Linked DNA regions of Arabidopsis thaliana. The protein of the gene in region 1 interacts with the protein of each later gene in a pairwise test. Each region holds a gene or a part of one and is shown in the gene's direction. Other genes may lie near its edges. The genes, in order: AT1G68240, SEP2, RSL1 and RSL2.

Evidence for each region.
Region 2: the proteins of AT1G68240 (region 1) and SEP2 interact in a two-hybrid assay, tested with the Arabidopsis thaliana proteins (one large-scale study listed by BioGRID).
Region 3: the proteins of AT1G68240 (region 1) and RSL1 interact in a two-hybrid assay, tested with the Arabidopsis thaliana proteins (one large-scale study listed by BioGRID).
Region 4: the proteins of AT1G68240 (region 1) and RSL2 interact in a two-hybrid assay, tested with the Arabidopsis thaliana proteins (one large-scale study listed by BioGRID).

What each region holds. Positions count from the first base shown.
Region 1 is NC_003070.9:25,574,329-25,578,165, reverse strand, and holds AT1G68240 (basic helix-loop-helix (bHLH) DNA-binding superfamily protein), read left to right. Parts: upstream 1-2,036; 5' UTR 2,037-2,099; coding exon 2,100-2,330; intron 2,331-2,407; coding exon 2,408-2,476; intron 2,477-2,573; coding exon 2,574-2,639; intron 2,640-2,727; coding exon 2,728-2,880; coding exon of another isoform or gene 2,881-2,886; exon of another isoform or gene 2,887-2,948; coding exon 2,949-2,987; 3' UTR 2,988-3,302; downstream 3,303-3,837. Other genes in the region: AT1G68238 (uncharacterized protein), read right to left, coding at 3,488-3,685. UniProt on the Arabidopsis thaliana protein: Transcription factor involved in somatic embryogenesis. Acts as a positive regulator of somatic embryo formation. Acts as a positive regulator of ECP63 by targeting its promoter and inducing its expression.
Region 2 is NC_003074.8:463,753-468,756, reverse strand, and holds SEP2 (K-box region and MADS-box transcription factor family protein), read left to right. Parts: upstream 1-1,605; 5' UTR 1,606-2,069; coding exon 2,070-2,254; intron 2,255-2,853; coding exon 2,854-2,935; intron 2,936-3,076; coding exon 3,077-3,138; intron 3,139-3,242; coding exon 3,243-3,342; intron 3,343-3,467; coding exon 3,468-3,551; intron 3,552-3,696; coding exon of another isoform or gene 3,697-3,727; coding exon 3,728-3,873; intron 3,874-4,109; coding exon 4,110-4,203; 3' UTR 4,204-4,478; downstream 4,479-5,004. Other genes in the region: AT3G02300 (Regulator of chromosome condensation (RCC1) family protein), read right to left, coding at 4,828-4,876, 4,988-5,004. UniProt on the Arabidopsis thaliana protein: Probable transcription factor. Functions with SEPALLATA1/AGL2 and SEPALLATA3/AGL9 to ensure proper development of petals, stamens and carpels and to prevent the indeterminate growth of the flower meristem.
Region 3 is NC_003076.8:15,034,339-15,038,501, forward strand, and holds RSL1 (RHD SIX-LIKE 1), read left to right. Parts: upstream 1-1,727; 5' UTR 1,728-1,858; coding exon 1,859-2,404; intron 2,405-2,497; coding exon 2,498-2,602; intron 2,603-2,733; coding exon 2,734-2,799; intron 2,800-2,920; coding exon 2,921-2,986; intron 2,987-3,095; coding exon 3,096-3,236; 3' UTR 3,237-3,546; downstream 3,547-4,163. UniProt on the Arabidopsis thaliana protein: Transcription factor that is specifically required for the development of root hairs. Acts with RHD6 to positively regulate root hair development. Acts downstream of genes that regulate epidermal pattern formation, such as GL2.
Region 4 is NC_003075.7:16,238,773-16,243,089, reverse strand, and holds RSL2 (ROOT HAIR DEFECTIVE 6-LIKE 2), read left to right. Parts: upstream 1-1,920; 5' UTR 1,921-2,037; coding exon 2,038-2,577; intron 2,578-2,670; coding exon 2,671-2,976; intron 2,977-3,084; coding exon 3,085-3,150; intron 3,151-3,281; coding exon 3,282-3,347; intron 3,348-3,443; coding exon 3,444-3,524; 3' UTR 3,525-3,727; downstream 3,728-4,317. UniProt on the Arabidopsis thaliana protein: Transcription factor involved in the regulation of root hair elongation. Does not seem to be a direct transcriptional target of RHD6 and RSL1. Involved in the regulation of root hair elongation in response to low phosphate.

The sequences.
Region 1 (3,837 bases):
AAAATTTACAGGGAGTCAACAACAATAATCAACCACAGACGACAAAGCCGATGTAAACTACAAGATGCTGTAGTATATAAGACCAGTTCATGTTTTAGTATTAAAGACCGGTTCTCTCAAGTTCTTTAATAATATGGTTTGTTGTTTAATGTAAAGGAGTTGGTCTCCCAAGTTGTATTTGAAACTAGGAGTACTATGTGGCTTGCTCTTTGTTGTACGTTTTCGCACTGTTGTATAGTATACTGTAACGTTGTAACGTTTTACATTGTTTATCGTAAACAACTTATAGTATTTTGGTTGTTTAAATGCAATGTTTTCGTGTTTAGTTCTAGTGCGCAACATCATATATTAATTCACATTAATCACCAAGAAGAATCTAGCTATATTGTGAAACTAAGGATTGTTCCGAACATAAACAAAAAATGTGTTGAAATATATTATATTATATCTAAAATAAAATAAATAATATAAATATTATTATTTTGGCAAAAAAACTATATTAATATTGTTTTAAAGAAAAAAAACTTTGTAGCTAAAATGATAAACATATATAAGTGATTTTTTTTAACTTACATATCTCGTTAACGTTTTTTTGTTTTTTCGTTAACGTTTATAATTTGTAAGAAAGATTTAAAAATGAAATATTTTCATAAATATTTAAATATTAGATATTTGATCCGCGGTTTGGGCCTGTAGAGAATCTTAAATTCATTTTTTTTTTCTGTTTTTATTTTCAATCTTTGAGCAAAACAAATAGTTAATGATGTTATAGATTCAATTGTTTAACAAAAACTAACTTAAGAAATTAATTTAATTGAATGATTTTTTTTATAACTAAATTGAATGATATTGCAAATATCTATTTACAACATTAAATATATTTGTTACTATAATGATGTTAGTGTAAAAAATATATTCATTGTTGCACCCAAAACATTCATAATTAAATGTTAGTTTTAAACTTGGCAATCGAAATTTTATATTATTTTTCTTTCAAATCGCTCATATGATGGCAGGTTAACCAAATATGTTTTGCTTGTCCGTTTTTTTTTTCTATCTGTCTCCAATTGTTCAAATAATATATACGAGATATTGAAGAAATGGTTGAGAGAAAAAAATGAAATGGTTGAGAGAAAAAAATGAAATGGTTGAGGTTTATTTAAGAAGGAGAAGTAACGAGAGTGTGCATGTATCCACAAATAACCCAAATTAAAATAGTACATCTAGCTATAAAAAACGTCCCGTCTCAATGAAGTAATCAGACGACGGTCTTATGTATTTGGGTCGATGGCGAAGCTATTCGATAGAGAGTTCAAGATCTCTGATCAGCACATGTTTATATGAAAGATTTTGGTGCATGACTCCTTAAAATATGTATGAGTATTGAAGAGACACGTAACTCGATAAATATATGCAAACGTACGTTCTAAATATCACATCAGAAGCTAGCTTGCACAGTGTTACAAGCCGGTCAAAACAAATTTCTGACTAGAAACATTTTCTTGCCCTTGCATGGACATGTCCATGCATGTTGTTGATATAATAGAAAGTTTATCTTGTTCTCAATCAAAATAAATAATTCTTAAATATTGAAATATGTCATTTTTGTTCGAACTTGTAATAGGAGTTTTACAGTTCTCTTTTCCAACTAGATAATGTTTTTCCAATTTTAATGCAATTTGTTGTATCCATAGCTAGCTTGAGAAGAAAAATAAAATACTAAAGATTAAGAACTGCCGTTCATGAACAAGAATGACACTATTCCCCTGCCGTTCTTAGAATTTCAAGAAAGAGCAAGAAAGCAAATATAAGAAAACAACAAAAATATATGTTTTCTTCTGTCTAATGGATGTGCGTAAATGTGGAACACATAAATATAATAATATAATGGAAAATGAGTAAATAAATTGTTAGAGAAAACCATGGGACGAAGCAAAATCATCTTCTTTGCTTCCCGCTCAATTGTTGGAACTTTCAAAAGAAGCTTCTTGTATCTCCCCTATATATATATAGCTTATGGCTGAACTAACTAGTTTATCCTTAACCCTCCACTTTTCACTCTTTAACAAACTCAAAATCCTCAATTTAGTCAATCATCAATGGAGAGAAACAACCGCAACGAGGGGACTCACGAAGAAGAGCAATGTTCGCTTTCTGATATTATTTATTCGTTTTGTTCAGAAAATCATAGTGAATTAAACCCTTTGCAAGAGATATTCGGTGTTACCAAAAACAATGATCATGAGAAACACGACGAGGAGCCAGACGAGGAAAGTTACCGTATGGCTAAACGGCAACGTTCCATGGAATATCGTATGATGATGGAGAAGGTGAAGATGACTTAATCTCCTTCTTCTCTTACGTGATTCCCTAGCTAATTTATATTTTTGCTTTCTAAACTTTGTAGAAAAGACGAAAGGAGATCAAAGATAAAGTAGATATTTTGCAGGGGTTGATGCCTAATCATTGCACAAAGGTTAACTATTACTTAATTTACTCCATATTTTTTATATATTAGAGTCTAATACAATATCAAGTTTCGAATATCGAGTTTCTTGTGTGTTTATCTACAGCCGGACCTTGCATCGAAGCTTGAAAACATCATTGAATACATTAAAAGTTTGAAATATCAAGTAGATGTAAGCATTAAACTATATCTAATTTAATTTAGTTACTTGTATCCATTAGAGTATATATGTTCTTATGTGTTATGTGGATGTGGTCCAGGTTATGTCAATGGCATACACAACAACTCCGGTTTACACACCACCATTTTATGCAGCAGCTCAAGCACCATGTATGTCTCCTTGGGGCTATTATACGCCAGGAGTTCCAATGATGCCTCAGCAAAACATGACCTATATCCCGCAATATCCTCAGGTTTGATCAAATTAAAGTTTAATCTGATTCCACAGATTCTGATTTCTGCCATCAATCTTTTATCACAGGTATATGGAACAGTGCCGCCAAATCAAACTCAACCTTAAAACAAGCTCTAGCTATGTGGCTTTTTAAGACCCTCCGGCTTTAGACTCGTTGCTGTTTATATAGACTGTCTTTGTAAACTAAGATATGTACATAGATACATAAATACATACGTAGTTTTATGTATAACTTTTAGTTTGATGCCACAATATGTAAAAACACCTGTTTTTTATGTTCTGTTTTGGTTGAGCATTGTTCCTCTGTTATTTATGTTCTGTTTTGCTCAACCTTTTTCTTTGTTGAATGTAAGTTAAATAAACAACAAAGATGTTATGTTACGTGTAATAGTACGTTTGTACCAAACATTACTACAACCCTAGTTTGATAATTTTTATCTTGAATCATAGAAAACGAACTAGATCACTAAAATGTTAAATTCAAGAAGCAGAATACATTCATTGGCTACAAATTATCTACACACTTTAACTTTTTTTATTAAAGCAAGAAGCCAAAATAGTTTTATCTTTAAATGTTACTAAAGTAAACAAAAAATGCTTCCCGTTTAACCTCCACAACCACCACCGCAGCCAGCGGCGCAACTGGATCCATTGACATCGTCGTTAGTGTGAGGTTTAGAAGCTCGGTCACTGCATGAGAAAATCACGGCTGCTATGACGGAGAAAGCCACAACAGCTGCCCAAATGTAGAGTGAGACTTCACCATTACCCGCCGCTATTACCGCGAGTTCTCCTCTCACCATTGAAAGAGTTTTTGTGCATCGCTTTGTGACAATTGTTGAGACTAGTTGATAAAGAGAGTTGTAATTGGCATATTTTCAAATGTGTGGTTTTGCGTTTTCGAGTCAGAAGTCACCAAAAAAAAGATGCGACGACTCTTTCTTATATATACTGC
Region 2 (5,004 bases), on another chromosome or scaffold:
GAATGGTGTAACTTGTAACATATATACTAATAAACACGATTGATTAAAAATTTACTATACAGTATATCCAAAACATTATGATTGAGAGTGTACATATACAATAAGTAATTAAACCTCAAAACCAAACAGTTTTTTTTTTTTTTGGTCAACAATAATTAGAAATGAGAATAAACTATTTAACTTATAAATTCTAGACCCAAAAACTCATATTTTACCCTTCTTGGTCTCACCTAAAAAGACTTTAATTCCCAAAACTCTTGCAAACAATGGCCAAACATAGAAGATTGGAAAACAAATTTAAATCTACTTTCACTTTTATAAAGAATAATCAACGAACCAATTAAGTTAAACCTACATATATTCGTATGTGATCACATATGTGTTATATTCCTCACGTTCTCTTCCATTTAGCTAATAACCTTAATTACTTCAAGAAATCATATATCAACCGAAAACTAGTAAAATAAATATACATACTGAAAGCGCGCAAAATTTTTAGCAATATTTTAAAATACCCTACATCATAGTCTTAACTAATTAATCTTTCTGATCAAAATTTATTTTCATAATATTCATAAATACTTATGGATTACCTAAACCAGGATACTTATCCCTATAAATCTGTCAATCATCATGGATTCATGGAGACATGGTCAGATATCCCACGTCCAGATACAATGTAACATATTGATATACTGCGGCTGATTATTATTTTTTACATTAGAACGAGTTTAGATCCAAAACAAAATTGGTATTCTCAAACAAAAATTAAAAATTGAATACGAAAGTAATAGAACAAAACTTCAATGTTGTCGAATAGATAGGAAGCAATAGAAAAGCGACACGTACATGTCCATTTTAAGGTAGGAGAGGCTTTTCTGCGGCTTGTGAAGTAAGAAAAAGAAAATGATGATAGCTGCTTTCGTTTCATTCATTGCAGAAGAAACCAATGTTTCCCCAATCTCACGCGCCTCCTCCTATCTACCACCACTTGGACAAATCCCCTTTTCAGTATTAGTTTTTTTTTCCGGACATTGTACATTCAAAAGCATTCCAAGTGTCTAATAAACATAACTAACCACTCCAAGATGCAAAATCTAGCTACGAACAAATTTTAAACTATAGAGATGAACTTTAAATTCGGGCATTAATTAGTGGAACTTGAGCTATTGATGAGTTTTCTGACTTTTTGAAGCTTAATTGAGTTTTATATACACTATATATAGGCTTGTAATAATATGGATCAAACAAGAAATATATAAACTACAAATTGGGAATTAGGTTTTAAAACGTTATCGTTCTATTTTAATTCAGGCACCTTTAGAATATCAAGATCCATGCATGTTTCAATATTTCTGTTGACAAATAAATAAAGATGTCTCAAATATGAAGTTTGGGCAACGTACGTGTAGACCTAAAAGAGTCGAAACATTGGTATCTAAGTCATATATCTAGATGTATATGGACATGGATTATATAACTAGACAACGTTTGTTTTAAAAACTTAATTCATTTTTCTTAATTAGTAGCAACTAGCAACTAACTACTCATGGCAAATAATGGTGTCTGCGTGGCACGCACTTGGGAGAGAAGGTGTGAGAATGTTTTTTACTTTCTGTGTAAAAGATGGAAGAGAGAGAAAGAGTAAAGAAGTAGAGAGAGAGATATTGTATCACCAAACCCTAATGATCTCTCACCCTCACAAATTTTCTTATCTTTATAGCTTTTATAGATTCACAAAAACTTTTCTTCAGATTCACAATCTCATCACAACCCTTCAAAAAGAGAAAAGATCTAAAGAATAAACAAGAGCCCTAATATCAAATCACAACCAAAAAAACCAAAGAAAGCTAATTAAAGTTTTCTCTCTAGCTATTCCTCTTCTTTTCTTGTTCTTGAAAACTAGGGTTTACTTCACCAAAAGATAAGATCTTTCCCCAGAAAAAGCAATACCCAAGTCATGTTTCTGTGTGTCTGTATATAGATAAAACATTACATACCCTAATAAGGTTACACAAATAGCTATAAAAGAGGGAAAATAAGATAGGGATTTTTTGGGGTGAGGAAAGATGGGAAGAGGAAGAGTAGAGCTCAAGAGGATAGAGAACAAAATCAACAGACAAGTGACGTTTGCTAAACGTAGAAATGGTTTGCTGAAAAAAGCTTATGAGCTTTCTGTTCTCTGCGATGCTGAAGTCTCTCTCATCGTCTTCTCCAACCGTGGCAAGCTCTACGAGTTCTGCAGCACCTCCAAGTACTTCTCTTTCTTTATACACTTATTAGATCTGTGTGTAGATCTTTCATTTTTCTAGTCTTGTGATGAGTTTTATCTTTCTTGATTGCTTTTTAACAAAATACTTGATATATTTTCAGTTTCTTAATCTGATCTCTAATTAGGTTTTGATTATAGAAGAATAATTCAGTACTTTCAAGTGATTGAATTTCGAGATCTGATCTTAATTTAATCATCATGTCAAATTCTTAGGGATTTAATTGCAATCTATTTTTAGATTTATCGGAGCTAGGAAAGTATCATAATGATATACTATTATTATCATGTAATTTCATTGTCTCTACACGGATATATATGTGATTAGAACTTGGTAAAGTAAACTAAAGATTCACAGTCTTCAATGAAATTTAAAAGATCCAACGTAGAATAATTAGTGGTTCCATGCATTAACCAGTCTAATTAAAGCTCATGCAGACATTTAAGCACCACATGAATTTAATATCTTTTTAATTAAGGGATCTTCTTTTTATAAATTTTCTTTTGTTAGTTTTTAAAATTTTAGTTTGTTCATTAAATTTATAGATTCTTCTTCTCCTGATTTGTGTTTTTTGATCTTTCAGCATGCTCAAGACACTGGAAAGGTATCAGAAGTGTAGCTATGGCTCCATTGAAGTCAACAACAAACCTGCTAAAGAGCTTGAGGTTTAATCTCCAACATCTCTTCGATCTTAATTATTTATCCTTTTTTAATTTTATCTAAAGAAAATGTTTGATTTTGAGACAAAAGCCCTTCAAAGTTTCTTACATAGATATTCAATTGTCTATTATCTTCGCAATTTTCAGAACAGCTACAGAGAGTACTTGAAGCTGAAAGGTAGATATGAAAATCTGCAACGTCAGCAGAGGTATATACATTAATGTGGATGATGATCATTTATAAACAGCATATATATATATATATATATATATATATATAGTTTGTATTGATCATGAAAGTGTGTTGCTGCAGAAATCTTCTTGGAGAGGATCTTGGACCTCTGAATTCAAAGGAGCTAGAGCAGCTTGAGCGTCAACTAGACGGCTCTCTGAAGCAAGTTCGCTGCATCAAGGTGATTTACTTCTGTACATACACTGAAAGATTCACACAAATCTTTCTCTATATATAGACTGAGACACATGCATGAAATGTTTTTGATGCGTGAGGTTATCTGAAAATGCCTCTTCTTTTTTGCAGACACAGTATATGCTTGACCAGCTCTCTGATCTTCAAGGTAAGGAGCATATCTTGCTTGATGCCAACAGAGCTTTGTCAATGAAGGTATATGATGATGTTTCTCTCTCTCTCCTCCAGTTTCTATTTATAGATGGAAACTTTAAATAGTCCAATTTATATATATGAGTCTAAATTTCACATTCTTCAACTGCTACATGTTTCTTTTGTATTATTTCTATGATATCTTCAGGAAAGTTTGAAAAATATTGTGTTTTGTTTAGCTGGAAGATATGATCGGCGTGAGACATCACCATATAGGAGGAGGATGGGAAGGTGGTGATCAACAGAATATTGCCTATGGACATCCTCAGGCTCATTCTCAGGGACTATACCAATCTCTTGAATGTGATCCCACTTTGCAAATTGGGTAAATCAAACAACTTTTCTTGCCTTAAGACATCAACTTAGGTTATAAACAGTTAGCAGTTTGCTTTAAGCCCAACATTGTCTTTGTTTCATAGAGGCTTTGGTTAAAACTCGTGTTGTTTAGTCTAAGGATTCAGCACTTTGATGTCTGAAGTATGGAAAATCAATATCTCAGACTTGAAAATGTGGGTTTCTATTGTTGACTTCGAAACTATGTTGTTGTGGTGTTGCAAACAGATATAGCCATCCAGTGTGCTCAGAGCAAATGGCTGTGACGGTGCAAGGTCAGTCCCAACAAGGAAACGGCTACATCCCTGGCTGGATGCTGTGAGCGATACTTCTTCCCCCAATAAAGATCTTAAGCAAGTACTGGTGGGGTCTTCGTGGTGTGATCTTAGATCTTATGCATATGAATAATAATGTTATTGCACAAGACTTTTGCTTTTGTAGACACAAGTGGCTATAGCTGTAATAGCCTTCAACATCTCTCTTCTGTTTCAGGATTTGTTTGTGCCTATTGTAATTGCTTATATATGTATGGTTTGTATAATGTGTGAAATGTTAACATCGACCATGTCTCATCTGGTGAAGTACTTATCCTGTCTATGCATGATACAAAAAGACGTGGTTAGATGCTAACCGCAATCGCAAACACAGCTTGTGACAAAGGCATATAAACTCTCAAGTTAACAGTGACATTCAACAGATCACAATGCCACCAAGATGTAGCTTTTATTTTCGATTCTAGTGTACAGAACATATAATTACAATATCTGGATCTTACAGAGGCAGGACAAGTAATGAAATCTGTCCTGAAAAGTTAAATGATACAGAGAGTTCTGCTGAAGAATGTAATTTCTGGTTTGCTACATTCTTCAATTTCTCAATAATATAGGACCAATTGTAATAACTTCCAACAATACTAAATTGTTTCGGAGTTTGGGGATTGTGCTTTTTAATATACTTCTTCCCCATTAGTAAAGTCCCCATCAAGTAACTGCTCCCTGAAACACATCAAGTCGCATTGTTTAGCTTTACTTGACTTGGATTCTTTCTAAGTTTCAAAGTTTAAGGGGTAATGAAGAAGTTTGTCCAAGAACTTCAACTTTGCTTACCTCAGTCTTTCGCAGAG
Region 3 (4,163 bases), on another chromosome or scaffold:
AAAAGATTGCGAGATTTGAGTTCGTTTCTTCTTCAGAATAGAAAATGAAGTGGAAAAATATAGTCTTTATCGAATACACTAAAATGAGAATAAAAACGACGTGAAGATTAGCGGAAGATACGGCGATGCTTTTGCTTCTTTAGTTATTTCAAGCTCAAATTTCTTTAATTTTTCTATCTTTGTAGATTTATTTAGGGGTCTCATTTATTTATGTTTTACAAAGTCTCCCAGTCCATTAATTTCACTACTGCCAGCTAACAATCCCAATGAGAGATCATATTAGCTAATAGTATTATTATTGTAATTTGTAATTAATAAACTTGGAACCACATTCATTAATTGCTTCCATACATCAGCATCCATTAATATTTAAAATACTTTACAAATGATTTTCTTAAAAATTGTATCCATGCTTATGATGTATATATTTTTTTTAAATAACAAAGGTATCCTAATTTATGATCGGACAGCTTTATGTAGATTTAAACAAACCCTACACCCCCGAATTGATTCAACTTAACTAAACCGAAACCATTTTTAGGGCAATTCTCACAAATATTTCCAAATTTAGCATATCATCTCTAAAATTTCAAAAATACCACAAAAACACAAAAAAACAATTTAAAAAAAATGAAGACTTTAAGATTTGAAAACTTGGGTTTGGGTTTAGTATTTTTGATTTAGGGTTTAGTTTTTGTTTAAATTTAAAATTATGGCGTTTCACCTTATCTATATTGTTAAAGCTCTCACGAAAATAATATAATTGTTCACATTAAAAAAACACACAATATAATCGTTCAAATATTTTTTTTTAAAAGCAAAGAGTAAGAAAAATCATATATATGAAAGTTAGCAAACTTTCTTCTTATAAGTGACATATCACTCCAACATCTGCCACATGTGTTTGTTTTGGTCTGTCTAATCGGTTTGCAATTTTGTTGTGTGTCTTCTGTTAAATTTGATTATGAAGAGATTGTAGTCATCAAAAATAGAAGAATAAAAACTAAACGAATCAAGTATGCAAATTTTCTTATGCTTAATAATAAATTTTGATTTCAGTTTAACCTTTCTTATAATGTTTTCCACCCGTAAGACCAAACATAATCTAATTTCTTACTCTAGGATATTTACAGTTGAAATAAATGAGTTTATATATTTCATGAATGATCTTGGAGGTACATTCTCTAGATTAATTTGTAGCATAATATGGATGTCTTATTAGTTATATTGTTGAAATATATCCTAATTCATTTATTGGAGAGGAAGAGATATATAATTTCATATATGGTGGTAGAGAAAAGACATAATTTCATAAGATGGATACGAAGTGAGAATTAAGGTGACTTATTAGAGGTGTTCATTTCTTTGCAGTTTCACTTCAAAAACTGAGTGATTATTTTCCTAAATAAAAATAAGTTGAATGTTTTTGTAAACTAAAGAGTTATTCTAAAACGGTAATCAAATTTGCTAGTTAAAAAATTACTTTTAAATTATAAAAAGTGTACTTGCATGTGTATTGATTAAATCTCTCTACATTCATAATGACTTCGACTGATAAAATTAATAGACTCGAGCAATATCTATTTTGATCTCATGCCAGCTTCCTCTCTTAAAATATTATAACAAACAAAAATAAAACTACATCTAAATGTCATCATTTAATATTAGTAAGAACCGCCTATATAAACCTTTATGATAACATAACTACACAAACATTGTCTCTCTTTGCTTACCAATCTACAATCTTAAAACCATTTTTCGTTGTTTCGATTTCTCAAATCTCCTTAACCTCTCAAAGCAAAACCAAAGACATAAAAAAGAAACCCCATACATCTCACTAGAACACCCTTTAGTACCAATGTCACTCATTAACGAACATTGCAATGAGCGTAATTACATCTCAACCCCAAATTCTTCAGAAGATCTCTCTTCACCACAGAATTGCGGATTAGACGAAGGAGCTTCAGCTTCAAGCAGTAGCACCATAAATTCTGATCATCAAAATAATCAAGGGTTTGTGTTTTACCCTTCCGGGGAAACCATTGAAGATCATAATTCTTTGATGGATTTCAATGCTTCATCATTCTTCACCTTTGATAATCACCGAAGCCTTATCTCTCCCGTGACCAACGGTGGTGCCTTCCCGGTCGTGGACGGGAACATGAGTTACAGCTATGATGGCTGGAGTCATCATCAAGTGGATAGTATTAGCCCTAGAGTCATCAAAACTCCAAATAGCTTTGAAACAACGAGCAGTTTTGGATTGACTTCAAACTCCATGAGTAAACCGGCCACAAACCATGGAAATGGAGACTGGTTATACTCTGGTTCAACTATTGTAAACATCGGTTCAAGGCACGAGTCCACGTCCCCTAAACTGGCTGGCAATAAACGGCCTTTCACGGTAACTATAAATTTAAGATTTGTGATTTGTCTTTTTCATATATCATTTAGATCAATCAAAGATGTTTAAAGTTTACCATCTAATGATCGATAGGGAGAGAACACACAACTTTCAAAGAAGCCGAGTAGCGGTACGAATGGAAAGATCAAGCCTAAGGCAACAACTTCACCTAAAGATCCACAAAGCCTAGCAGCCAAGGTTTGCGTTTTTTCTATTCATCAACATTTATTGTCAGGGTTCTCTTTTTGGATTTAAGTCAAGGAAATTAAGAAATATATATGTGCTTTTGTCAATAAATTAACCAATACGAAAATATGTTTCTTGTATAGAACCGAAGAGAAAGGATAAGCGAACGCCTCAAGGTATTGCAAGAACTTGTACCGAATGGTACCAAGGTATGATAAATGTATAAGAAATTTAATTTTATCGTAACCTTTTTTTTCAAACCTAGAGCGTAATAAATATTTTTCTGTACTAATTTTTTTTTTTAAAATCTTTATGGTGGTTTTTATGTAGGTGGATTTGGTAACTATGCTTGAGAAAGCAATTGGCTATGTAAAGTTTCTTCAAGTACAAGTTAAGGTAATTAATCTTAACAAACATTCCGTCAACTATATATCATACTATGTCATATATAAGTAGGGTCTTTCAAGTATATTGATATAAACAAAAAAACTATGTCTTTTTATAGGTACTTGCAGCCGATGAGTTTTGGCCGGCACAAGGAGGGAAAGCTCCGGACATTTCTCAAGTTAAAGAAGCTATTGACGCAATCCTCTCATCATCACAACGAGATAGTAACTCAACTAGAGAAACAAGTATAGCAGAATAATTCCGACCAAAACAAAAAGTATAGCAGAATAATTAGTTACTAAATGTATCGGCATTAATTATAATACCAAACAAGTCATCACTTTTGAATTCGGTTTAAAAAATAGTTAATTGGTGACGTTACAGATCGAGAAGTTATTGATTCCTTTAAGGCTTTAATTATGTAAGAGCCAACACATTGAAGTCACCGACGATATGTCAGACGTCGGTCCACACGAGCATGGAATCTTATAGTAGATTAGATATGTAATAGTTATATATGTGGAGGTATGTTTCTATTTTTGTATGTTTTGTAATTCTCCAAGTATGCGTAATGTGATGTTGCAAAAGTTTGGTTTCTGAGTTTTACTTTAAGATATCTTTTATAAAATGTTTTCATGAATTGAACTAAGTGTTGTTAAGTTTTGAGATATTATGCATGTAATTAAGTGTTAATAGCTTAATCGATAATACATCTATGCAAAGTTTAGAAGTCACTGATACGAATAACATTTAAGGGGAAACTATATTAAATGTTATGGTTTCCTACCCGAGAAACAGACCTAGATCCGAACCTCTTAGTAATTAAAAGACAAAAAATATTTATTATGAATGTCTATATTTCTACATACGATGCAGTAAGGCAACGAAAAAATCAACTATTTCATTAGAAATTAAAACTTAAATCCTCCTTAAAACCCTTTTAAATTTATTTTTTCAGTTGTGACTGTTTAGCTTACGTCCATTTCTGCACTTTTGTTCGTTAAAAATAAACTAATAATAGTAATGTTACATAGTATATATGTATGATGTATCCTTGCCGAAGTATGTTTTGAATGTTATATATGTACCTAACCAAGGGGTATACCCTAGAGGTATAGTTCTATTTTTGTACTTTTAGATAGGGTATGTAATATTTTGTCCAAAAAAAAAAAAAAAAAGATAGGGT
Region 4 (4,317 bases), on another chromosome or scaffold:
TTTCATTCTCATGAACTCTTTATTTTCTGCTACACAGTTATTTTATCCATGGAACTTGACAACTTAAGCAACCAAAGACTTCGCGATTCTTATTTTAATATAAAATAACTACTAAGTTGTCAAGGGCGTTAGAGGAAGAGCTTTTGTGTTCTTAGTTTCGTAAATTAGATGGTTAATTTTTAAATGTTTCATCAAAAACACAATATCAAAAGAAAATAATAATAAATTTAAACAATATATGTAGATTAAAACTTCAAATCACAAAATAGATGGGAAAAAACCGGCCGGTTTTTGGGTCACTACAAGTTGGCGTTTTTCAAAGTATAGGCTTGATTTGTCATTTGTTTCTAATTTCGCATCAACTTGACCTAAAAGTGAATTACGCTTAATGTCGAAATATTCCATTCCTTAGTTTATTTCGGTTTTGATATAATAATTACAACTAAAAATTAGGATAATCCAAGTATTGTCATAATACACAAACTGACAAACGCAATAATTTTCTCTCGTAAGTCGTCGTACCTCTTTAATCCGTTATTGATTGGTTCAAGGTTAGATTTTTACATGATTTAATCATCGAATAGACGAGAAATATGTCTAGCCGTCTAGGTCCATAGAGTATGCATCATTTTGTAATCTATTTTAATCACATTAGCACATAAATCTAGTCAGTGCATATTCGAAAAAAAACACAGCTGACAACAAATATAGAAATTGAAAAAAAATGTAAAAGTAGAAAGAGACAATGTACATAAATCTATATCTTTGTGTTTGTGTTGTATAGGTATTCAGTATTCTAGTTAGATAATTTCTCTTTAGAAGTCGTATAGCATATGGATATGCTTCTATCTAAATATAATATATTTGAAATTTGTAAGGATTTTGGATAAGTTTTGATTTTTTTTTCTAGTCAGCGGGTGAGTGGGAAAATATCATTCTTTCTACTCAGACCCAATAGTTTCTCGATTGTTTGTTACTTTGTAAAGTAAAAAATGCTTAATACTTTAATGCGTTGTATAATTATGCAGAATTTTAGTTTAAGCTATAAATTATAATACACTTATAGCTAATCAATATATAGGAATATTCTTACTATATGTAGAATATTGGAGAATTTTTTTTTTTACTATTAAAATAAAAATAAGTCTTGCTTATATCATGGCAGGTTGAACTATATGGGGACCTAACTACATGTCATTAGGGGAAAAACATTCATATCATAGGTATCATATGACGTTATGATATGAAGTTTTTTTTAAGGTGGATCAACACTTGTGAATTGTATTTACTCGATACTCAACATCAAAACTCGCGATCTCAACGGATTGGCGCAATTAGAAAGCAGTTTATGGGGTCTAACCGTAAGTTCAGTGTTCCCAAGAATTTGAATCATAGTTGTGTGCAAAAAAACTCATTAATATAAACTATACGTTCATGAGTTTTTAACACATCTACTATTTCATCGAGTGAGTTTGCAAAAAACACTTTTGCTAAGAAATCTGTTTATCTCTTATTACTCGGATGCTAACGAAACATGGAAGTCGATAAAATTATAATGAGCTAAGCTAAGAGCTCTTCCAATTTTGATCCTAAATATGCAGTGAATACGGCCACCACAATCATTTCTCATATGAACTAGTATATCAACCAACTATAATCTTGTTTTTAACTTAAAACGATGTATTTAACATATATAAGTGAAGCCATTAACAAGCAGAAATGCAGAATCATAAACGACAAACGACAAATATATATTAAACTTAATGTTCGATGACCAAGTTGCAGAGAGCCCACCATAATTAGCTGTCCATATCTAATGGTATCCCAGACTTGGTTATTTACAAATTAATTAGAAAGATGATTAACTAGTGTCATTATGTGTTGACATTTATTTATCCACTATCTCTCATGTTCTCTATATATACATTCCAACTCCTCTTCCTCATTCCCTCACTTCTCACAAGACTTCCAACTAACAATCTTCTTAATTAAGATTAATCTCTTAATTAAGACGCTTAGTTAACAAAACATATAAAAATGGAAGCCATGGGAGAATGGAGCAACAACCTCGGAGGAATGTACACTTATGCAACCGAGGAAGCCGATTTCATGAACCAGCTTCTCGCCTCTTATGATCATCCTGGCACCGGCTCATCCTCCGGCGCAGCAGCCAGTGGTGACCACCAAGGCTTGTATTGGAACCTTGGTTCTCATCACAACCACCTTAGCCTCGTGTCTGAAGCCGGTAGCTTCTGTTTCTCTCAAGAGAGCAGCAGCTACAGCGCTGGGAACAGCGGATATTACACCGTTGTTCCACCCACGGTTGAAGAGAACCAAAATGAGACAATGGACTTTGGGATGGAAGATGTGACCATCAATACAAACTCATACCTTGTTGGTGAGGAGACAAGTGAGTGTGACGTTGAGAAATACTCTTCTGGAAAGACTCTTATGCCTTTGGAAACCGTAGTGGAGAACCACGATGACGAGGAAAGCTTGTTGCAATCTGAGATCTCTGTGACTACTACAAAATCTCTCACCGGCTCCAAAAAGAGATCCCGTGCCACATCTACTGATGTAAGTCTTTAATTTTCGAACTGGTTGGCAATTAGCTAGAGAGATCACATTTGGTTTAGTGACTAATATAGAAACGGTTTGCCATGGACTCAGAAAAACAAGAGAGCAAGAGTGAATAAGAGGGCCCAGAAGAACGTAGAGATGAGTGGGGATAACAATGAAGGAGAAGAGGAAGAAGGAGAGACGAAGTTGAAGAAAAGAAAGAATGGGGCAATGATGAGTAGACAGAACTCAAGCACCACTTTCTGTACGGAGGAAGAATCAAACTGCGCTGATCAAGACGGTGGAGGAGAAGACTCATCCTCTAAGGAAGATGATCCCTCAAAGGCCCTCAACCTCAATGGTAAAACAAGAGCCAGTCGTGGTGCAGCCACCGATCCTCAAAGCCTCTATGCAAGGGTAAATTGCTTTGTTTGTTTCCCACAAAAAAGATAAAATATCAAATTTTTATGGAAGATTATGTTTCAAAAAATTAATTTGGTTTTTTATTATTTTTTTGTCGTGCAGAAAAGAAGAGAAAGGATTAACGAGAGACTAAGGATTTTACAAAATCTCGTCCCCAATGGAACAAAGGTAAAAAAAAAAACTCATGCAAACGTTTAAACATGCAGAAGATATGGCTCTTTTACATGCAAATTCATTAATTATACAAGAAATTGTTAATAAAGATTCTAAACATTTACAATTGCTTAAATACGTAACAGGTCGATATTAGTACAATGCTTGAGGAAGCAGTTCATTACGTCAAATTTTTGCAGCTCCAAATTAAGGTAAGCAAGGGTTTTAAATACAAATCGTTTTTTTTTTGTACGTTCAATTGTTATATGAATATGATCTAACTAATATTTTAAAATATAATTACGCAGTTATTGAGCTCTGATGATCTATGGATGTATGCGCCGATTGCTTTCAATGGGATGGACATTGGTCTCAGCTCACCGAGATGAAGCAGAAAACTTGTGATTTTAGTTGGATATTTTCTCTTATATATAACCAAAAATGTAATATTCTTTTTCTTTTTTAATATTCTCCGCCTTCGGACGAGTTCGATTATAAATTCTCGTACGATGTTCAAATATGAGAGAAATGGAGAGTCACGTTCGATTTTTTTTATACTTTCATTTTCTTTTATATCACATATTTACATTTCAATTCTTATGTTTCATCTGTTCAATCGATAGTTTTAATACTTATCAGGATCATAAGATCTATACCTTAAACAGTTTACACTCAATCTGATCACCGTTTTATTTAATGATCAAGGGACATATATGATTATTTTTAATCTGATCACCGTTCGAAGAATACCTAATGAATGGAGAGTTATTATTATAATATTAAAATAAAAAATAAAAAATGAAGAGGTCTGACAAACGAATGAAGAAAGGTCTGACAAAAGAGGTAATAGTTGAAAATGTGAATGTGCTAATAATAACTTAACAAAGTAACTTCTATTTAAGAAATGTGAATGTACATCATTTTGGTTGAAATGTGTGTGATATTTAATATTTAGGCGGAATTTGTTTTCATTTTTTTTAGGCTTAATTAAAATGGTAAGTTCATTCCAAAGAAAATCCTTTTTCACTAGGAGTAAAACCCTATTTTACAAAATTAGTTGTGATGCGAAAAACAAATGCTCATCAATTAATCAATGCACTCATTTGTGAAGGATGAAATATCAAATATGACCACTTAAAAACTTCGGCCGCAACATTTTCTTTCTCACACGTATATTCATGA